Coturnix japonica: one gene and its partner. The protein of the gene in region 1 binds, or shares a complex with, the protein of each later gene. Links are inferred from orthologs where the notes say so. Each region holds a gene or a part of one and is shown in the gene's direction. Other genes may lie near its edges. The genes, in order: FRS2 and NTRK2.

What was found.
Region 2: the proteins of FRS2 (region 1) and NTRK2 are in contact, whole or in part, in an NMR structure (PDB 2MFQ), measured with the Homo sapiens proteins. The link is inferred for Coturnix japonica from reciprocal best matches to the Homo sapiens genes FRS2 and NTRK2. Residues at the interface, in NP_001036020.1 of Homo sapiens: Val26, Asp27, Asp28, Asp29, Gly30, Tyr59, Leu60, Cys61, Leu62, Arg63, Arg64, Tyr65, Gly66, Tyr67, Asp68, Ser69, Asn70, Leu71, Phe72, Ser73, Gly77, Arg78, Ile86, Ala88, Lys90, Phe98, Gln102, Met105, Gln106, Ser109; in NP_001018074.1 of Homo sapiens: Pro498, Asp499, Val501, Ile503, Gly504, Met505, Thr506, Lys507, Ile508, Pro509, Val510, Ile511, Glu512, Asn513, Pro514, Gln515, Tyr516, Gly518, Ile519.

What each region holds. Positions count from the first base shown.
Region 1 is NC_029516.1:32,155,698-32,167,745, forward strand, and holds the start of FRS2 (fibroblast growth factor receptor substrate 2), read left to right. Parts: upstream 1-4,275; 5' UTR 4,276-4,421; intron 4,422-12,048. UniProt on the Homo sapiens protein: Adapter protein that links activated FGR and NGF receptors to downstream signaling pathways.
Region 2 is NC_029547.1:36,495,475-36,506,787, forward strand, and holds part of NTRK2 (BDNF/NT-3 growth factors receptor), read left to right. Parts: intron 1-1,244; coding exon 1,245-1,381; intron 1,382-4,467; coding exon 4,468-4,600; intron 4,601-6,091; coding exon 6,092-6,391; intron 6,392-11,313. UniProt on the Homo sapiens protein: Receptor tyrosine kinase involved in the development and the maturation of the central and the peripheral nervous systems through regulation of neuron survival, proliferation, migration, differentiation, and synapse formation and plasticity.

The sequences.
Region 1 (12,048 bases):
ACCGTGAGTTTGCAGTGTGGTCCTAACCCAGAGTTCACAGACTCCCAAATTAGCAGCTAAGGCAAACGTGCACTGTCCCTCTGCCAGTTTTCCAGGAGCAGCCACCGTACCTGCTCACGGGATGCAACAGAGCACTATATTCCAAGATTCCTTGGCACTGAATCCAAGTGCTGTGCCTGAAGTCACACAAACGTCATCAGTCTCTTGCAGGGAGAAGCTGAGCCAGCTTCTTGTTTGGATCCCATGTGATCCCATTCCTCCAGCTGCCTTCACCACATTCCATGTGGGAAACATGGACTGAGACCCACCAACTCCACTAAGAAGGACAATCTTTTAATGATCAGTGCCACAACACTGAGCTACGCAGCACCAAGGCCCCCCCACACCTCGCCCATGCTCCCCTGTAAGTAACATGCAGCGATAACTCTTCCACTGGAAGACAGAATGCAGAAATAATCCCACTAATGCTAATGACATATCAACTAATACAATGACAAATGCCCTAAGAATACCAAAGTAGTTACTCACTGAACGAATAAATAAATAAGGCAAAGGGCACATGCTGCATGCAGAGATTTAAAATAACCAGCTGCCTTTTCCTGTGAGAGGCATCCATTCCATGTCCTGATTGAGGAAAGGTTTCCAAACTGCAAAAACTGAGCGTTATTACATGTGGTTAATTCCCTCTGCTTCGTGCTCACAAAGGAGCCCATTTGCAGTTGCACAAGTTGCCTCATTTTTAAAAGTCTGACATTGTGTTGATGCTCTTCAAATGCTGTTTTGTACAAACTTCATAGTTAAATGTGCACATCTCTGAGGCCCTGAAACTCTGCAGCACCATGGGGGGATTGAAGGGCATAGCAGCAGTCTTCACACGGAATTTCCTTGCTTTCATCTGACAAAATCTGTTCTCAAATGTTATTGCGACATAGTGTAGCTTTTTTTTTTTGGCTTGAATTAGATTTACATCCCAGTTGGTTATCGTGGACTAGTTGGAAACAGCCGTGCACACATTCTGCAGTCAGCACATTGGTGCTGCTCCTTGGGAAGCAGCCAGCAAGAAGTTACAGGAGCTGCATGTGGCAGCCTTTGTTGGGGGGAAATGAAAACAGTTCAATTCAGTTAAGCAGAACGTTCACTTGTGAAGCAAGCTGAATTTGTAGAACTTGGGAGGCCCAAGAGGCAGCTTCACTCACAGTAATAATGTCTTTGAGACTTCCAGTGTTCAAATGGGCAAGGGACTAAGTATCCAGCATCTGAAGGAGGAAAACACATAAAATCTCAGCCATCAAGCTTAGCCTAAAATAAGGTCAGAGAAAATACCTGAGATGAAAATTATGCTTTTGCTACTCACTGGGATTGTTTGCTCTGGAGGAAGAAGGCTCAAAGGAGAGCAGATCATTCTCCACTATGACCTGAAAGGAGGTTGTGCCAAGGTGGGGGGCGGCCTCTTCTTCCATGTAACAGCAGTAGGATGAGAGGGAATGGTCTCCTGTTGTGCCAGCGGAGGTTCAAGTTTGGTATTCTCCAAAAGAGCATTGAACCAGGCTGCCCAGGGAGGTGGTGAGTCAGCATCCATGGAGGTGTTCAAGAAAAGAGTGAACGTGGCACTGAGGATCATGGTTTAGTCAGCATGGTGGTGCTGGGATTTCATGAGCTTAGTGGTCTTTTCCAACTGTAATGATTCTATGATTCTGTGAAATTGTATAGATCAATACACACAGCAAGTGTCATCTCCATCACAGCACATTACTTAGAGCTCATGTATCCTCTAACCATATCAGAGGTACATAGAGGTACAAGTGTACAAGATGAAGCCAATCTGAGGAAAAACCCACTGCAATACCAACAATGATCTGTGTAATTCCTACCCCACTCTTCCCCAGATGTGACAGGAATAAGTACAGAAGATCTGTCAGATTCCAGCAGTCACTTCAGGAGGGGTTTCATTGTGTGAATTAAACTGTACAGAAGCAATGTCTTTCTTTCTTTCTTTCTTTCTTTCTTTCTTTCTTTCTTTCTTTCTTTCTTTCTTTCTTTCTTTCTTTCTTTCTTTCTTTCTTTCTTTCTTATCCTTCTTTCCTTCCTTCCTTCCTTCCTTCCTTCCTTCCTTCCTTCCTTCCTTCCTTCCTTCCTTCCTTCCTTTTTCCTTTTCTTCTTCCTTCCTTCCTTCCTTCCTTCCTTCCTTCCTTCCTTCCTTCCCCTTCCTTCCTCTTCCTTTCTTCCTTCCTTTTCCTTCCTTCCTTACCCCTTCCTTCTCCTTCCTTCCTTCCTTCCTCCTTCACTTCCTTCCTTTCTTTCCTCTCTCTTTCTTTTTCCTTTCTTTCTCTTTCTTTTCTTCTTTCTTTCTTTCTCTTTCTTTCTTTCTTTCTTTCTTTCTTTCTTTCTTTCTTTTCTTTCTTTTTTCTTTCTTTTTTTCTTTCTTTCTTTCTTTTTTCTTTCTTTCTTTTTCTTTCTTTCTTTCTTTCTTTCTTTCTTTCTTTCTTCCCTCTCCTTCCCTTCCCTCCCTTCCCTTCCCTCCCTTCCTCCCTTCCTTTCTTCCCTTCGCTCCTTCTCTTCCCTTCCCTGCCTCCCTTCCCTTCTTCCCTTCCCTTCCTTCCTTCCTTTCCTTCCCTTCCCTTCCTTCCTTCCCCCCTCCCCTTCCCTTCCCTTCCCTTCCCTTCCCTTCCCTTTCTTTCTCTCTCTCTCTCTCTCTCTCTTTCATTTTTAACTGAAATGTTGACAATGTAACTAATGATGAAATTATTAATGAAGCAGTGAGCCACTGGTTTAAATTATTGGCTCAGTTTCATTCTTCTGAAAAAAAAAAATAGTATGAACTCCCTGGGGATAGGATTTTTTCTGAAGAAGAGCAGATCGGGCCATAAGAGGCTGCTACATGGCCATTACTGTATGCAAGGGCTTTGTTTGACTGTGAAAACAACAACTTCTTGATTTGACATACAAAGGGTCATTCTACTTAGCATGCCACACATGAGGAGAGGCAGAATGTGACCAGTGTTGCTCTGTTCAGCTAACACAATAAGTCCCGCTCTCTCTCTTTATAAATCTGTTTTCCAGCTCCTGAAATGTTTGCTATAGAGTTTTTTGTTTTTTTGGTTTTTAATAAGTTTTTGTTAGTGTCAAATGGACTTTGGAACTGATAGAATAAAACTCCACTCCTAGGTAGCATCTTACAACAGAGAAAGAGAGCGAGATGCTGTACCACACTTCAGCCAGGAACATGCTTTTGCTGCTGAGTCACAAACCCTGAAAGGAACCATTATATAACAGCCCTCACCTACAGCTGAGTTAGGTGGTGCCTGTTATGTTTCAGTGTGTAGCTGAAACATTTAGGATGGAAACTGGTATCCATCTCCAAGGCTTTGATCAGTATTGATGCTGAAGTGTACACAACTCTTGCTGATCAGAAAGGGCTGCCCACTAGAGGAGACGTGAAATGGGATGGAATCCAAAGGACACTCCAGAAATGCAATCTGGCATTCCATCCCCTCAGAGTTCCTTCTTTGTCAGACCCAGGAGTTAAGAATATGAGTAAGGCAAAACTTTATTAATGAGATAAATCTACTGATAACAGTTCACATACGGTTGGGCTGCTCTCTTGATTACAGAACTGAATAGTCTTTAATTTTTAAAGTAGCTTACAGGCAAGGGCAATAATCTAAGGCCAAATTCCATGATAAATCTTACAGTGTACAGAAGTTGTCTCTGCTTTCAAAGCTGATTAAAAGGAAGTTCCGAGTGATGTAGAACAGAACTGAAAATGCCATCAAAGAACTTGGAGGTGTTCAAGACCAGGTTGGACGGGGCCCTGGGCAACCTGATCTAGTAAAGGTGTATGTTTGGTGGCCCTGCCAGGCAGGGGGTTGGAACTACATGATCCTTGAGGTTCCTTCCAACCCGGGTCATTCTGTGATTCTGTGACTTAAAGCAACGTTGGTTCATAATTTGTAGACAGTTGCAAGCAGTCTTCAAAAGAATGGCATCTATAGCGCATCTCAATGGACGAGCAGTCATCTCAGTCTGGGATGATGAAAAATGACTGTAGATAGGACCAGCAACCAATAGAAGATGGAGAACTGAACTGTCAAAGAGACAACGGACATTCACGTTCAACCGCTGACTACGAAGCCGCCTCGCCCCGTGTCCGCCGCGCCCGTCGGCCTGTGAGCCGGCACCGTCTGAGGGACCCACACGGAGCGGTGAGGAGCCCGAGCGGGGCTCGGCGGGGCCGTGCCGCCCCGGAAGGCGTTCCCGCCGTGCTCCGGAAGCTGTGCGGCTGAGTCCGGCCCAGAGCGAGGCCCTGTCGCCGCCGCTGTCGGGAGGCGCCGCCGTTCCCCGCCGCGGACGCGGGGCCGCCTCTCGCCCGTGGTAGGCGGCCCGGCCCCGGGCTCGGCGGCCGGCGCGGGCTCATGGCGGAGGTGGGTGCGGGCGCCGCTCCCGTCCCCGTCCCGGCCTCGCCTCGCGGGGCGCCCGGCCGGCTCCCCTCGCCCCTGCCCCGCGGCCGGGGCCGCGCTCCTTCCCCGCCGGAGTGTGCGGGGCCGGCGGGGCGACGCGGGCGGGCGGGACTGCGGCCGGGAACCGCGGGCGGGAGGGGACGGACGGAGGGAGCGGGGTCGGAACAAAAGCGGAGGCGGCCGGGCCGGGCTGGCGGTGGGGGCTGCCGGGGGCAGGAGCGGAATGCGGGAGCGGCCGTGCCCGCCCGGCCTGCACGGTGCCACGGGTCGGACATGGCCAGCTGTCAAGCTGGGCCGCTGCTCCCGGCTCTCTGCGATGTGGATGTGGGGGATCACGGAGGTCGGAAGGGGTTTGGGCACCGCTCTGCATCGGTTCTCTGCCCGAGCCGTGGTGAGACAGAGACGCTTTCTTGGCTTCATGGTCTCCGTGTCCTGCTCAGCATCAAAGCACGAGGGGTGGTGATGGTGAGAAGAGGTTAGGATGATGTTGGGCAGTTGGTAAGAGATGACACCGTGCTGTCTCTTAGCTTTTTATTTTACTTATAGTGCTAGTGACAAAGTGACATTTAGCATAATGAGAAAGCACAGCCGTATTGTATCTTGCTTTAACAGTGTTAGTGATAAATCATTCTGTATGATGACTCTCATTCAGTCCATACTGCTGGCTCTGCAGTACTTTTGTATTTAAAAGAACAAAAACCTAATTTCCCTAAGATTCATCTCTGCTTTAGAAGCGGGTCGATATGAAGAAACATTCAGATCCAGTAAATCCAGATTCAGATCTGTTTGTTTGTCTGGATCAGCAGAACTGCCAGCGAGGCTCCCTGGCTGTTTCCCTCAGTTTACAAGTGTGTCTGAGCAGCACAGCCATCCTGCGGGCGGTGTTGGAGCCTGCTTCAAGACAAATGTGCATTGATATCAGTGTGAGTCACCAGTTCAGGTCCAAAAATATTCCCTGCATCACAAATGGAAAGTGATTAAGAACGTTATTTCTTGACTGAGAAGCCCTGGGTTTATTTGCCTACGTATCAAGAATGCTTTGAAAATGCTTGTTGAAACAATGTCCCAGTGGTTGTATTTATATTTGGTTAAGCAGCTTTTTGCTCACTTTCCAGTTCAGTGTCTTGTCTCGAATGCTGGTGGTTGGCTGTAGTCAAAATTAATTGTTCACGATTCCCTTTTCAATCTACCAATGCAGTAATAAATGTAATTGCTTGTAGGTTTGCAAGGTTATTTCTCGCAGTCAGTGTGCACTACTACTTATAATAATTTACTTCTCGAAGATCACCTTGAAAGCAGCGATGTCCATGCTTAGTAGGGGATCTGATCCTGCAGTCAGCACTATTCACTTCTATGAGCCCTGAGTCTCACAGTTTGAGCAGTACAGTTCTTTGAGTGGCGTCTGAAATTCATTCCTCAGCAGAGCGGTTTACAAGGCTGCTGACGTTTGAACTCCAAAAGAAATGTATTAGAATCATCACGCTGAGCTGCTGTGGCAAATTGAAATGTAAAATAGGGCGGTACACAGGTGCACTTTGCAGCATCAGCTGTGGATTAAGACTGGATGTTCTGCTTTCAGCCTGCCCCTGGTTACCCCTTGTGCTGGGAGTGCCAGCTTGTGGAGCTGGGCTGGTGACGGCAAGTGGCTTGTTCTGTAGGGTGCCCAGAGGAGCTGGGGATTCTCCATCCTTGAGGTGTTTGAAGCCAAGTTGGATGGGGCCCTGGGCAGCTGGATCTAGTGGATGGCAACCCTACCCACGTCAGGAGGTTGGATATGGATCGGTCCCTTCCAGCCCAAACCATTCTATGATTCGTTCTGTGTCTTTTGGTTGATGATGCTCTGGGCTGGATCCTTGTGAGGTAGGGACGGGGTGTTTTGTGAAAGTGGTGGTGGGACTCACGTGCTTGAGGGGAAGAGCAGGGCTGCCTGGGCCTTGACCTGTAGCCAGCACTGTGGGACTTCAGCTGGGACTCAACTACTTCGTGTGAATGTGTTGCTGTCATGGACCATCTCCACCACAGGAGGATACAGTTGGTCCTCTTTGCTCTCAAGCTCCTAGGCACAGGCCGGTGCCTGTGCAGCACTGGGTCGAGGTGCACCCAATGGGGTGTGAGGGGAACAGGTTGCTTCTGGCAATGGGGATGAGTTGTGCCAGCCTGGAGTGTGCTTGATCCTGGCTGACTTTGGTGAAGCTGAGCTTGGGTTGAGCACGGAGGGTCTGGATGCATCGTTTGGTTGTGGTTTGTCAGCATGCTTAAAATCTGAGATCCTTTAATCTGTGGCAGTGCGACTATGATTTCAGTGTGCATTTTGAAGGGATTTTAAGTGAGGAGTCTTATAACTGCTGTTCATCTGTCGGATTTTTGAGACAATGAATTTGTTGTGTGTGTGCATTGAGCTTTTAAACATAAAGACTGAGAAAAGAAGATAGTTACCAGTATGTGCAAAGAAACCTGCGTGATGTTCTGCAATAATAAGTAAATTGAATGACGGTAACAACAAAGGATGAAAATGCTGAGGCTGACCTGAGACTTAATGCTGTTGGCTTCAGACAGTTGAAAACTGCTGTCCAGAGGTGTAATTCCATGCAGCATAGGCAGGTGTTTTATCAGTTGAGCAGAAGTGGTACAGGAGCAGGTATAACATAACAGACTTTGCCTCGTCCACTCTTAAGCATCGCTTTCTTTTTTCTTTCTGTTGTTGTTGTTGCCCTTTCTGTGTAATCAGAGCTATATGTAAACTTTCATTTCAGACCTGAACAGATTATAAACTGGTGTGTAGTTGTTCCTCATGTAAGTGTGTAAGCATCCGTTTGTGTGGGTGCGCATGTCAAGCATTCTCCATTAAAGCACTCTCTTCAGATTCCTCTTCACTGTCTCAGTCTGGGTGGCAGCAATCACAGCAGCTGATTGAGTTGGCTCTTTGTTAAAGCCCATTTTCCTGGAGCCATGTGATTCTCTAGAATTTCAGTCTTTCCCTCAGGCTTGAAATCGCTTTAATAAGAGAACTAATAGCTTTTCTTCTGATGTTTATACAACACAATGTCATGATTATTGCATGTTTGAGAATGACTGTATGTATTCTTTCCTAATTAGCGGAAGTGTTGTTGTGATTACTATTTCCTTCCCTTGTTTCTGAATCCTTTAGTTTCATGTCCTATTTGTTCTTCTGAAACGCTTTCGCATCCATCTGGAGTGCACTGAAGTTCTTGCCATGTGAGCTGTTCTTACTGTGCTGCTCACACTCAGGTGGCCCAGGATAATCCCCAAACTTTTCACCTGGATCTCAGTTGACAAGTCACAGAATCACAGAATTGTAGGGGTTGGAAGGGACCTCTAGAGATCATCGAGTCCAACCCCCCTGCCAAAGCAGGTTCCCTACACCACGTCACACAGGTAGGCGTCCAGGCGGGTCTTGAATATCTCCAGAGAAGGAGACTCCACCACCTCCCTGGGCAGCCTGTTCCAGTGCTCCGTCACCCTCACCATAAAGAAGTTCTGTGTTACATAATGTGTTCCTCTTGGTTACTGCAAGCAGAACGTGGTTGCACATGCTGTTGCCACCATGGCTGCCTTTGCTTTAACTTGTAGAATCTACCACAGTTAGCAGAGCTGCCACCTCCTCTTGCAGAACCTCATTTCCTTCCTTTTGCTGTAAAGCTTCTCATCCAGTGCTGGCTGTTGGTAGGAATACCTCTGCATTGGTAGGTTATTGAACTGAGATTTCACCAAAGGTCTCAGAAGTATGTTCTTACATCAAAGCCACTCTTGGGTATTTCTTGCTTTACTGCTTTTTTGTTGTACACCTTTTCCATTCAGGCAGTTCTGATTCAGAAATCTTATACATGAGATGCTTGTGAGGATTACTGGGCAATTGGCATATCTGGAAAAGTGAGAGGAGTTCTGCTCTGTGCTCTGAATATGGAAGAGACTGGGTCTCCGTTAGCACTTCGAGTCAGAGGATCAGACTTCTTTCCCTTGGCTTCTCTTCCTAATGATTTTGGTCCTGGCAGCGTTGAGATGCTGCTGTTGTCATCACTATGGTGGTGACGGTTGCTGTAAACCACTGACCCGTTACTGTGTGCTGACTCAGTGGTGAAAAGTTGCTTTAATTTCCTGCCTTCACAAGGAGAAAATAGACCCTCTGTGCAGCGTGCTGGTACCTGAATTCCCGTATTTCTGGTGGAAGGTGCAAAACGTCATCAAACAGGTCCACTGAATTCCTGCAACCACAAAGTGGCTCTTACCTGCCAGGATTTTCCTCCGCACATCAGACAGTTGTCTTGCAGGCAGATTTTCTTTGGACTGAGATATTACCTTGTGCATTAACGTGACATTTGCATGACGTACAGATGGGGACATCGCAGCGTTACTGTAAGGCAGTCAGTAAAAACGATCGTGGTAACGCTGTGTTTGTTATCTAAACATTGGAAAGATCACCAATATGAGATGGAAAATATAAAATTCTTATAGGCTTTTGTCGTATTTCTGAGACAGAACGTGTTGGTTTCATAATTCGTCAGATATTTGGCAGGCAGAGAGTTGACTTGTTTTGCTGTTCCTTAGCATATGATGCCATCTTTTCCCCAAGCGGAGATGTTGAAGCAGCAGCTTTACATGGGGAACTCCCACTGTCTTCTGCAGAAAAAACAAACTCTGGTTTACATAGAAGCTTTGAGTGAAAAGTGAATGATCTAGAGCAAACTGTATTCCATTGTGATAGCAGCGTCTCTTCTGCTGAGCTTTTCTGAGGTGACAACAGCAGCTTTTTACATAGTTGTGCAGCACAAACAGAGCTGACTGTGCAGCAGTTATCCTTCAGACGTTGACATTTTTCAGTCTATTTATGAGCATCAACAAACGCTGTGTGCATACTTTTGCCATGCATTGAATGCTTCTATTTTCCTTTAATTTAGCTTAAAACTAGTAATGGAATTCCTGAGGTTTTGAAAGGAATAGCTCTTGGCAAGCACAGGGCTTTGAAACCAAAGGCAAGTTAAGATACCAAGCAAACACGGGGAGGGCTGCTTCTCCAGGGACGTTTGTTACGAGTATTCTGACGTCTTGGAGACTGCAAGTTGGATTTGGTTTTTGCACACACACCCTGTCTCTTTGTTTTTGTATATTTGTTATTGTTGTTTTGTTTAATTATTAAGATACTGAAACTCACGTTAATCCTTGCTGTCACCCAGGAGGTTTAGCCTTTTCAACTAGCCATTAGAAGCAGGGGGTATAATGCTCCTCTTAGGTTTTGCCTTGTATCTGACTGTATTTTTTTCCTAAATTCAAGCACTGTTTAAAGCGTGTAATTAGATGAATAATTTCATTTAAAATAAAATAAACCTTTCCTTTTAAGTGACTGCAGTAATTGTACCAGGAATAGTTATCACACATCTCTCAGGTGGGATGGTAACAGACCAAGCTCGTATTTACATTTCCCAAGTGCAGTTATGCTTTTAGCATAAGAGCTAAGAGCCGCTGTAGTTTGGTGGGAGTAGGAGAAGACAGGACATGTGGAAGGTTGCTGGGGTGCCGAGGCCTTGTCCCTCCTTGGGAACAAGGGGCCTGCAGTGCTGCTTGCTGTGGGCATCTTCTGTCCTCCTGTGATCCTGGCATGTGCAGAATTTATGGGAAGGTTGCATCTTATCTCCTTGATTTAGCTTACCACATTTCTTTGTGGAGCTTCGTGGCTCTGTATGCCTTCATTCAGCCCTGCGTTTCCTTGCAGTGCTTCTTATTATCATAAACATTTTGAATGCCTCGGAGTTCATTATCATCCCTCTCTAACTTAACTCATTTGCTCTCTGCAGTGCTGCTGACAGCACTGTAATCCTCTGTCGCCCAGGGCAGTAGTTAGGGAGTTGCCCTCTTTTTTTCCCCTTCTCCTTCAATCCGCAGTCAGATTTAATTCCTATCCTTCTTCCTTATCCAAACAGCATCTCCCAAGATTACATCTTCTTTTTTGGCCTTAACAAACCTGTATCTGTATCTCCTCCCTCCTCTCTTGAAACTCACATCTCTGCCATCGGTGTAAGGTGCAGCTGGGAAGATGTTTCAATAGTCTGCCTGTCTGCTGGTTTCCTTCATCAAGTCTGTGTTAGTTGTCTTTGAGTCTGAACAGTCTGCATCTTGTCTTTCCACATCATGCTCTCCCCTTGCCTTGCTACTCACAGTCTTATCTCTTCACTTACATGTACCACGGCATGTCCTCCACTTTGATTTAGGAAACTTCTGAGTATTATCATACATAATTGATAGCATATATATTATCATATATGCTAATGCTGCTACAAGAGAAAATGATTACATCTCTGACTTTGGGTTATTAGGGTACCCTCCCACTGTGTCTCTGTTATACAGATAAACTACACTTTTATCTACTGGGGTATGCATGCACTTCCATTAAAAGTAAATGAATAAAAATACACAGACCTACAACAATTACACTGCTGTATGTCTTCCAGATTTCATTCTCTTGTCTGATGGCTGTACTTCCTTACTCTGCAGTAGGAAAGAAGCACTAGTGATGTGTTTTAGACTTTGCTGTGGGAGTACACTGTCACATTCTGTGGCCTTCATACGTGGTTTCAGTTAGTAAATATTCTTTGCTGCACTTTAGAAGTTTTATTGGGCAAGACAAGTCTGTTAAGTCTGGAGCTTCTCTTTAGATGACACACAAATGGAATTAAATCTGCAATAAACATAGCACTGGATGCCATGCTTATTGCAAAGCAAAGGTTGGTTTCAGCAGAAGCAATTTTTTTTTTTTTCTTTTCCTTTATTAATATATAGGAAAAACCACCTGTCTCTTACATATTTCTTCATGTCTTATGGAGAGCTGGATCACAAATGACTTGCGATTTCCCTATTGATCATTTAGACTTTGCTTTGAATTACAGCGATTACAGTAGTGTAACTACTTTAGCTTGCTGTACCTGTCTTTGCAAAGTTCCAGGATGGTAGAATTAAATAGTCATGAATCACTTCTTAGTCATAGCAGCTGCCTTGTGTTTCCTTATCCTTAAGACCACTGAGTAGCCTTCCAGGCCTTGAGAGCATGGGCTGTGTATTGCTTATCAATGTGTACAGCAACAACTATGAAACAGCAATGGCAGCTCTAGTGTTAATTTTATTAGGTACACCAACAGCAATGCCAAAGTAAGCTGAAAGTTTTGTATCAGTCCATGTGGTGTTTGTGTAGCTGGCTTTGGTCTTACTCAAAAACTATTGGCCTTTAAGGGTCCTAAAAGCATTTAATTAGCAAATGTGTGGATGCTCCCTGTGAATTTGAATGCCTCTTTTCTTCATTTACAGTATATGTTTTAGGCCATGACATTGGTTTTAGTGAGAAAGCATCCTTTTTGTTTGCAGTTTGGCTGGGAAGGATGCCATTCCACTTATCTTTGTTAGCAAAAGGCATTTGGCTGGGACATTTTACATCTCAAAAAGTAATGAACAAGCTAACATTATATTTAGTGTTACCTAATAAATTCTTCTCTAAGCACTGAATTTTGTGGCCAGGCTGGATGGACCTTTGTGCAGCCTGGTCTGGAAGGAGGCATCCCTGCCTACAGCAAGGGGGTTGAAACTA
Region 2 (11,313 bases), on another chromosome or scaffold:
GTCTGTGATAAAAGTACAGTTTTCTAATTTACAAGAGAGGTGAGGAAAATAAAATAAAACAAAGAGGACTGTTGTTTTAGGAATAGTAGTTGCAAGATCATGCATACACACTGAGCATAGAAGACAAGTTAGGTTATTTGAGATCATAAACTCTGGTTAAAACTTGCCTGGAATGGCTGATAGATGATGCCTCATAAATGAGGGCAAGGCTTTGGACAGTGCATAGCTCCATGGAAAGGCATAGAATGAGCTACGGAAGATCTGATGTTTCTAGCATGAGGAATGATTATTTGCCTTGTAAAGAAATATGTGACAATTGAGTTCCTGTGTGCTAGAAGACACTCCTGTGTTCTAGAATGCCAGATACTGCTGGCATTATTTTTGAAGGTGGTTGATCTATTATTCCTTGTGTGTTTCGATATGCTCATCACGTATTACATATATTATTCTTCTGAAAGTTCCCATTGCTTTGGGCGCTAAAGATGGAGGTGTGAAGTGGTCTATAGTTATGAGATGGAGGGGAAGTCCTAGATCTTACAAAGTCTAGGCTGTTTCCCTGGTACCATCATACTGCTTTTTTGCTTTCCTGAGGGCACCAGCTGTCTGCTGGAGTGCCTCATACAGCAGCTCTGTACAATAGCCAACCCACACTTCTGACCTTTCTCTCTAGTTTCATCTGTTCAGTGCTTTGTTTCCCTCACTTCATACTTGGGCTTTGTTGTGCTTTCTGTGAACTTTGCATGAGAGGGAAGGCTGCAATCTCTTGTGTGAAACTTTGGGCTGGTGGGATTTTACTCTTGGTGCTGTGGAGAGTAGTGAGAGCACCACAGTGCCAGTTAGATCCTGGAAAACAAAAACAAAGATTCCTTTGGAACTGTAACAGAGAGTTAGATTAAATTTCTGGTTTTAGCAAATGAGTGGGAGAATGGTTATTTTTAAGTTAAAAACTGAAGGTAAATTCTATTTACCCACCTGAATCATTTTCTCTTAAAATTAGCTGAAAGGTATGTTTCCTTAAAATGCAAAGTGGAGGCAGTGCAGAAAAATGTTATGTAGCAATTTAAAGATTGTTATTTGTTTCCAGAGATGCTATTTGGACTCCCTGACTGAACTGTGGGCAACTAGCCACAGTGAATATCTAGTTTAGTGACGTGTGCACTTGCAGAGTTTTTATAGAAATGAACAGCATCTATTTCTGTCAGACGCAAATGCATGTGTGTATTTTTTTGTTGTTTCTGTCGTAGACTTACCCTCAGCAAACTTAAGCAATTACAACATCACTGTGGTGGAAGGAAAGAGCATCACGCTGTATTGTGATACAACAGGAGGGCCACCCCCTAACGTGTCCTGGGTGCTCACTAATCTTGTTTCAAACCATGAGGTAAGTTTCATATAAAAAGAGGTGACTGTTCAGAGAGAAGAGATATCTGTTTGTAAATGGAATGAAGGTTCATGTCCAGCTTCAATTAATTTCTTATCAAAAAGATGAAGATTAATGTTGGGATAACATTTATTTTCCAGTAACTTTTCACCCAGGCCAACTGCTGCACTGATTCTGGAAAATGTCAAACATTTGCTCCTTGAGATTTGTAAATGAGAGTACTGTGATTTCTTGGAGGTTATACAGTGAATAAGGATACTGAAACAAAAGTGCTTTCTCAGCACCTACACAGAGAAAATAAATCTGACATATCCTAATCATGAAAAAGGCTTTGTCTTGCTAACTGTATTGCATTCTCAAGCCAAAACCCTGGTGACCAGATTACCTGTTGATTTGACAGTTTTGATTGTCAGTATTATTTTGTGTTTTGTTTCATTTTTCTTCAACAAAACAAAACAACAATGATGTCTTGGAAGTCAAGGTGACTAAAAGTTAATTGAAAGGCTACTAACAAAATGGCATTTTCTTATGAAGTGTGAAGACAGTCCCTCAACAAAGTCATTCAGGCAGCGAGAATTTTGTTTTCTATGATCTTTATGTTCTGTGTCCTTGTCTTGGACTGTGTGTGCAGTGGAGACTGACAATTTGTTCTGATGGAGAAACTGATGAGGAGCAGTGTCTTCTACATACAGTTGCTGACCCCTTAAATTGCAATAATTTTCACGGATAAGGCCTTCTGTTATTTACACTTCTCTGCCATTGGTATCCTGGTGTCCACAAGTATGCAGATGGTCTGAATATTTCCAGTATGTGCAAAGTGTGAGGTGTATACTTCTAAAACTGTTTCTGTAGTGTAGAAGTGCCAGAACCTCTAGGAACTTTTAATCTTTGCACTTTCTGCTTTGATATCATTATATTTGGTCTGCATAGGGTTTGACCAGTGTGTCTTTCAGCTTTCATGAGTAAGAATTCTGCAGAGTTCTAGTTTTATTTTTAAATTTTCCTCTAATCTGTTAAACTACCCAAAGGCACCAGTTGTCATAAAGGACAACAAATTAGAACCGTTTGGGGAACCTATGCCAAGCTGTACTTTTTCTTTGTTTTTCTTTGTCTGTTTTTCTTTGTCTGTTTCTCTTTTTCTTTTTCTTTTTCTTTTTCTTTTTCTTTTTCTTTTTCTTTTTCTTTTTCTTTTTCTTTTTCTTTTTCTTTTTCTTTCTCTTTCTCTATTTCTTTTTCTTTTTCTTTCTCTTTCTCTTTCTCTATTTCTTTTTCTTTTTCTTTCTCTTTCTCTCTTTTTTTTTTTTTTTTTTTTTTTTTTTAAAATTATGAGCCAAAACAAATGTGGGATGCTGTTCAAGAAGTGAGATCACTTCATTTTTTATCCTCCTATCTTTGAAATGCCGAGTTCAGTTTGCTTCAAGGTTTCCAGAAATACTCTGTCCTGGCATAACTTTGTGTGTGAGATTTCAGAGGGGCTCATGGCATAGCCTAGCTGCAACTTTAGCTGTGGAGCACAGTAGTCTTTTCAGTAGCGGAAGAATGAGTGCCTTTTAAACCTCATTTCTCATTTGAACCTATCCTTCCCTTTTCTGTGAGTGTTGTTTTTGTTTCATTCCTCTCACTTTTGTATTTGTGTTTCTGCCTCCCTTTTCTTCACCTCCTATGCTGTTTTTGCCTGCTTTTTCTCTCTTTTGTGTCTTACAGAGAGGAATGTTAACAAAAGCTAAAATTGTACCTTATTCTTGCAGAGTTAAACCACATTCTCAGCTTCTATGCTGATTTTTTGCTATAGATTTCAGCCATCAATCTGTGTTTGGAGCCCCTTCTCTGAATCTTCCTTTTAGTGCTGCTCATCTCTGAGAGCTGCATGTGGAGAAATGTACAGTGAGCTGTTGGCTTTTCCACTCTGCCTCCCACACTGTCACACTGATATCAGTGGAGCATTTAACTCATATGGGGTTAAGGTGTCACTTCAGGGTTCAAAGTTCTAGTTCTGTATGCAGAACAATTCATGTGCATCCCCACTGACTGCTGCTGAAAGTCACTGCTTTTACAGGTGCATTATCTGTTTGTGCAGCACTGACGTGTATGTGTACACTGAGAAAAGTACCTCAAAAGGAGTTTTTTTAAAAAAAGAATACAAGTTATTTCTTATTCTCTAAATGTGTTTTGATTCTATTCATTTTTAAGGAAGTAGCTTTGCATTTCATGAAATATTCAAGTGTGGAAATAGTAATTATTTGGAGATCATGTGAATGACCTTTTTTAAGAAAACCTTGTCTTTGACAACTAGTTTTGCTAGCTACTATTTTTTTATAGTGCAGTCCTGTTCACTTTGTGAAATGCAGCATAGCTGCATATTTAATACAGCATTCAGGCTATAAACATGCTGTAAACTTTCTAAGAATCACAATAATCAAGATTTTTAAGAATTATAATTCTTACTTTAATTAGCCTTAGTATGTAAACACATAAAACAGTACTTGGGCAGTAGTTTAAGTGTTAGAAAGTATGTCATTTCTCATGAATTGTTTTATGAGAGGAAGAAGATTTTAAGAGAAGTTTGGCGAGGGAAGGGATGAGGGAAGACACACTGTGGTTTAGCAGAGCTCAGAACACAGCAGTAGAAGAAATGTCACACAAGTGCGAGGAGACCAAAGAAAGAGTAAAGCAAGGATAGAGAAGGAAGGAGGAAGAAAAAGTTCAAGCGAAGGAACATACCATAGATATCAGTCATGAAGTGGAAGAGAGGGATGAACAAGGCTATGAGTGAAGAAGAAAACATTTGTCTAGAGGGGAAGAAGAGTTCAGAAAAGGCAGGAACTGTCAGGGACAGGACAGAGAAGTGGGTGAGTGCAGAGTTTACTGCATGACTGCACTTTTCAAACTTCAGCCCCTGATAGTTTCAATTGGTTCCGTGTTTTATGTTAGCTGGATAGGATGCCAAAGTAGCATTTTACAGATTGATAGAACTAAGGAGAAAAGAAAGCAAAAAATGCTGTTGAGCTGTGGCCAGCGATTCCCTGCCTTTCTCTTGTTTCTTTAGACTGCAGTTGATACATGCATGTTTTTCTGATCATTTGTAGAGTGACACAAGTAAGAATCCTGCCTCGTTAACCATAAAGAATGTTTCATCCATGGACAGCGGACTGTGGATTTCGTGTGTGGCGGAGAACATTGTGGGAGAGGTCCAAACCTCTGCCGAACTGACGGTATTCTGTACGTACCCAGGCCCTCATGCAGCAGGCCAAACCCCATCAGCAACAGCTCTTTTGGGTATAGATGTCTTTGGGGTGCACAGGTTGCTAAAACAGGAGCACCATTTAAGCATGTGAACAACCTACTGCCATTAGTACTGGGAACAGCCCAGCCAGAAGTTGCTGAGTTTGTCTTCTGCAAAAATACATTTCCAAATGCTTTATCTTCAGAGAGGTTAATCTGTAAACAGTGGTTTAAAAACCACTGCCAGTGTGGGAAGTTTTGTAGTGGTGTGCATATACATATACACTATCTTAGGAATTAAGAAGTGTGAATGCATAGAATTAACCATAAGAGACTGCAAATGTTAAAGTTTGTATAATCTAGAGCAACAACTGCTTTGTTCAGAAAATAATGCATTTGAAATGTTTGTACTGCCAGATGTAAATTTATTTGTCATGGCTTGAATAATGTACTTTTTGTCAGGGCCAAAGACGGGGTAAGGAGAATGTGATATGGAGAAACTGGCTGCTTTAATCAAAAATCCCAGCCTGATTTCATTTTGTGCAAACTAGACATCATTTTTTTTTCACAAGTTGCAACCCTCTGTTTAATTGAAGATGGGAACAGAACTCTCTGTAGATGGCAAACATTGCTCAGTATGTGTTCATGACAGAGAAAATTAGAAAAAAAATCACTATAGATGTACTTCAAATGTCTTGTAAGTTGAAATTGGATATGTAATAGCTATGGGAAGAAACATAAACTAGAAATGTTTCAACAGTGTAAATGAGATTCTAAGCTTGGCACTGTTATGAGTGATAAAAAAGAATGTAACCAGATGAAATTGGATGCAGTTAAGAATAAATATCAAGGAAAATTTCCCAATAGTGAAATAAAAAGCAAGGTGCTGTAATAGTCTCCTGAGGGAGACAGAACAAGTTTGTAAAGTTGAGACATTTAGCAGGTTTGAATAAAGAATGAGAAAATGTGTAGTAGAAAATGGTCATTCCCTGACAGAATAATCCAGGGAATGAAGTCATCTGTACTGGCTTTGATTCTGTGAGGGAAATCATCTGAAAGTTTGGATTCCTGGCAGAGGATATTTCCAGTACTGCTTGCTTTGGGCCAACTTTTACATATTTCCAATGCTGTTCTGTTCAGTCAGCCCTGTTCTGTACCATTTTCTTCTGCAGAGTAAAGCTAAAATTGCTCTTTTCTCCTTCTCCATAAACTGAATTTCCCACACCTGGCAGGTATGGGATCTAACTGGTGTTCAGTCTTCAGATAAAATAGTTAGTTTTTCTTTTTTGAAAAATGGCTTTGTTTCAGTTGTAATCATAGTAACCTACACAGAGCTGATGAGTGTCCTGTTTGAATGTGATGTGAATAGGTATCATTCCTGCAAGTTACTTCCTGTGATACTTGTGAATGAAAAATATGACTTAAGGGAATGGGGAAAAGACAAGTTCCAGATATTCTGATGTTGTTGACTCTTTTTTTCCAATATAGTTGCACCAAATATTACATTTATTGAATCTCCAACCCCGGACCACCACTGGTGCATTCCATTCACTGTGAAAGGGAATCCTAAGCCCACATTGCAGTGGTTCTATGAAGGAGCTATATTGAATGAGTCTGAATACATCTGTACTAAAATACATGTTATCAATCAAAGTGAATATCACGGCTGCCTTCAGCTGGACAACCCTACCCACCTGAATAATGGTGCTTATACCTTATTGGCCAAGAATGAATATGGAGAGGATGAAAAACGGGTTGACGCACATTTCATGTCAGTGCCTGGAGATGGTGAGTATGATTCTTTTAATGTTAGCCATTGTAAACTGATAAGAATGTGCTTCTAGCAAGTTTTTGGTGTTTTGTTTTTTTTTTGGTGTTTTGGTTTTTTTTGTTTTGTTTTTTTCCTGTGGATAAATGTCTTCAAAATCCATTGTGAAGTAATGTTTTTCTTTAACTGTGGAGACTGTGGAGACTGCTACTGCTCTCTAAAGTCTTCCTTTGGGTTACCTCTTCATTGCCAGCTGAGGCTTGAGAAACGTGGCTGCTTCTCAAGTGTTTTTTGAAGCCTCTGTTCTGATCCTGGAAAGCATGGAGTGCCAGTTCTGGCACTCCACAAGTGTTTTACACCGTGTTTGAATTCAGCTATGCAGTGTATTAAAGGACACAGGGTGCCCATATAGTGTCTAGTGTAATTACGGCAAAATCACTGTTGCAGTCCTCTGAGTTGATAATAACTGATTATTTAGGACACCAGAGGGAGCTGGAGAGAAAACAATCCTGAGGTGGGATGGTGGAAGTCTCAAGTCGTCACAGGCATTTAGGTGTCAAATTCTCATTCGTTTCAGCCGAGGTTGGAAACCTGTGTGGCTATGAATATCTGTGCTCAAAATGGTTAATGTTAATTATGTGCATCTTCTGCTCCAGAAGCTCTGCCTCAACCCTCCTGAGCTGTATATAATTGGGCTCAAGGTAGACTAACTCAATGAACTGTAGGGACTGCTGGCAGTGATTGGTGTTCTTTGTGGTGTGATATTTCCCCACATCTTCAAAACTGTATGTGAAGTGCCTGTAAGAGAATGAAGACATACGTGCAAATTCATTATTCTATCTATAAGAACCTCTGAGTGGACTATGCACAGCAGGAGTGAAATACAGGCATGTTTTAGTGCAAATAATTGCACAGTCATATATGAAAATATGAGCATATGTGTACCCTTGACTTTTTAATCACAGAATATGAAAAGCCTTCTTTTCTGAAACAGCTATGTGCAGTGCCAGTGTTATCTGACAGAAGAAGATGTGAATTCTCTCTCCAGCAGGGCAGGCAGGCTAGAGACAGTAAAAATATGGTCTGTACTTAGTGTTTGCACCTAACGGCTCAATCTGCTACAGGGCAAAATGTAGCAGGTCCTCTTCTTTTCCCTTTAGAAAGAGAAGGTGAAGAGCAAATATAGCCAGGTCCTCTTTACTCCTTCTGTCTTTAGACCTATCTTTCTTCTCTGCAGATCTTCCTTAAATAGACTAATTACAAGAACATGCCATGATTCCAGCTACTGGCATCCTCTGATACTGTGCTGTAACAGCTCAGTAACTCAGTTCACCTTCTCCATGTTCTCTGTGCAATGGAAGCTCTGTCACGCTCTATTTATTATGAACCTGGCTTCATTTTCTTAACAGAATAACAGTTCCTCTAATACACTTGTAATAATTTATCATTTTTTGACTTTGATCCATATCCCTCTTACTGTTCTGTTTTGCTTTTGTGCTTCTCTCCTTTACAGTGAAGATTTCCCAGCCTTTAAAATCAATAAACAGAGCAGGAGGCATCTTCCCAATTAGAAAGATAGTATTATTGTTTACTCCATTGTTTTTACACTCCTAGGGAATTTAGGTCTCCAAGATAATCTGTGCTGTGGTTTTCAGCATTTCCAAGCTCTGTGATGGATTAAGCTTCACAAAAACAGTATGAGAAGACTAAACTACTTACCGACAGGACATACCTGCATTAGAAATCAGATCATGCATGGTTGATTTCTCCAAACCAGTCTTAAAAATTAACAGCGAAATTGCTTATCTAGTTAGCTTTCTCAATATTGGTCTTGTTAGAGGACATTTTTTCTGTGATAATGACATTGAGCTTTCTAATATTTCACTACATTGTTGTCTCACCTACTGAAGCTGTCATAAAAACAAAGGCTAAAATAAGAAAATCCTCCATGCATAGTATTGTTATTATTATTTACTATTACTATTCAAAGCTCTGTCGGGATTTTTCAAAACCCTTAAAATACTTTTTCAGTGCTGTCGTTACTGTGTAGTTTCTTCTTTTGGCCCACATATTGTACAATGAAGTATGAAAATTAAGGCCCACTCCCTGGTATTATGTTCAATTCCATGCCTTCATGACTGAATTAAATACCAACCCTGATGTTTCATGGGGTGGGGCTCCCTCACTGAGCTTTGAACTGATTCTCTGGTTATTAACATTACTTACAGGCAAATGCACTGTGGTAAAAAAATAAAAATATTTTAAAAAACCCTCACTGATAATCTACCTAAAATAAACCTAACTAAGTCTAAAGCTTATTGCTAGCATCAACAGTGCACATAAAAGAGAGGGGAGGAAATACCACTGTGAAGCTTGATTGTGTTAATGGCATTACAGTTAATGCTGTAAATTAAAATTTTGCTTTAGACACTGAAGTCTGGAAGGAGAAATTTCAAGCTTTGCTTGCTAGATTCTTAACTAATTTTAATCTGCTAAAATTCTTGAACTCCAGAGTAGCTGTTTTTGCTGAGGATAACTTGCTTATTTGAGAACACATTATGGCAAATGGTAGGCAGGAAACACTCATGTTTTATTCTGAGAGCTGTTGCCAAAGTTGATCCAAAACATCTTCTGAGTGCTGGAGAGAATTTTACCAAGAATAATTGTTTTTAAGAAACCTTATTCATCTACCAACCCTATACAGTAAAATTCAGCTAGAGGAATTCAAGTCACGTATTACCTTGTCAAAGTAAAAGAATATGTTAAATATGCCTTAGAAGTAGCATCTTGCTTATGTGGCATAATAACATGGGTCTGTTTTGCAAAAGTATGTTTTTGGATTGAGTCTTTTGCTGCTGCTTTATTTTGAAAATGTCAGTTTCATAAAGAAAGAAACACAAAAGCAAAGTGCAGTTGATGTACTTCATGAATGCAAGTGAATAACATAGATCACTAATAGTTTATTTGCAACAGCCTGTTCTAACAGGGATCAAAACAACTATGTTGTTCTCTGTTTGCCTTAAAAATAATGAATTGCATGTAAATGTGCAAAATTACTGTGGTGAAGTTTAATGTTAAAACCGATGTTCTGATGATTGAGAAGACGTGTTTTTACATAGGAAATACTAAAGAGAAACTTGGGATTGGTCCAGCATCTTGATTTTTGCAACTTTATTTGAAGTATTTAGTTATATAAAAGGTATTGAATGGAGTCAATGACTTCCTAGCTTGAATGTTCCTGGCAGGAATTAAGGGTTAAACTAGTCTGACAGCTTCAGCCCCATTCCTGTAAATAGTAACAAAAATGTTGCTATGTAACTCAGGAAATAAAGGCCTTGGAGTTTTGTCACTGTTGTTATTTTTCCTTCAGATTACCAAAATAAATTAGGAATACCATCTTTTATCAGATGTTTTACAGTGGAAAAATTGAATCCATTAACTATGGAAGGAAAACCTTGGTCAGAAGGTGCTTGAGCACAGACAGGCTGTTTTCACTTGACACTTGTTTCTGCTTATTTTCACAGCAGTTCTTATGGGGTCTATTAGGCTATGTATCTGGAGACTAACAGAGCTGATCTGAAAGTAATGCCTCCTATTTTATTTTGCTGTCCCATGATGTCAGAGGCAGATGTTAGTGGTATGGCAGTAGGGGTTGAACCTTCCTAACAATATTTCCTAACACTTTGTTGCTGTCTGATGGATGGCAGCAGAGGTGCAGTCACATTCACTGGTGCTTGTTGAATGTTTACGGAGAGCAAGTGGATGTGAACACAGTGAGCACAGTGAGGTGATGGGTGTTGTGGTTCAGCAACAGCAACAGTGGATCACCTCCACTGGTGTAGACTTTGATGAGTGTGGCATGCAGACTAATGAATAGCTAATGTTAGTGACTATGTTGAAGGATAATATTTTGTAGCTCTATCAAACAGTGTTACTGTGGTCTTTGTATGTTGTAGTTTCCATGGAAATAAATAGGTGGTATTACTTTCAGAGTGATCAATGTAGAATATTTTCAAATGCATTTAAAGGGAAACCTTATTATCTGCTGCCATTCTACTAATAGTTTGCAACTCTTTGTTTTGTATTTTCAGCACAGATTGTCACGTTGTGCTGACATAAGCATAAGCAACAATGTTCTAGTCATACTTGACAGTGGCTTTATGCCAGTGTAATGCCACTGGTGTGGAATTACTGCACATTATAAGAATTATGCCTTTTGAAGTTTGATTCATCTTTAGGGGTTTTAACCATCTGCTAATTTTATTTCCAAAACAACAAAGAGTGAGTATACAGAAGAGATGATTAGGAGCCTACTACATAATTTTATAGACCAGGATGAGTGGGTACGTTGAGATATAATACAAATATATTTCAAAGTGTGAACCATCTAATGCTATACTAATTTCAGTGGGCATTCTGTGCATTATGCTCACATATGTGCTTAGCCTTACATATGTGTGGCAATTAGAAAAAAACTGAAAACTGAGACTGGTAAAATTTAGAAAAGAGTAGATTAGATGGGTCCATTTACCTCTGTAAAAGCTAGCTTGTGGGAGACCTGACTCTTTTGGTACTGAGTTCTGCCTGCAGTTCAGACTGAATGAGATTGTGATGCTTAGGTCACTGCTAACTAGTTCTTACCTTGACAACTCGGTGCTGCAACTGTAAGGCAATTTGCTCTCAGAGTGCTTATACTGCAAGTTTTTTTGACCAGGCAAGAGCCAGTGATTGTAATTGCCACTGAAATCTGCTTCCACTTAAAGACAGGGAGATTTTTATCACTGATTTCCAACAAGAATAGTTATTGTTTCACTTATTCCAGATATACATTGACAGCATTTTGCTGAGTTGGGAAATATTTCTGCCTTTACCAGAGCCAATACTCCTTGTGTTAGCTGTTTCACATGAAGTTAAGTGTTAACACTGGGGATAGCTATAAAAT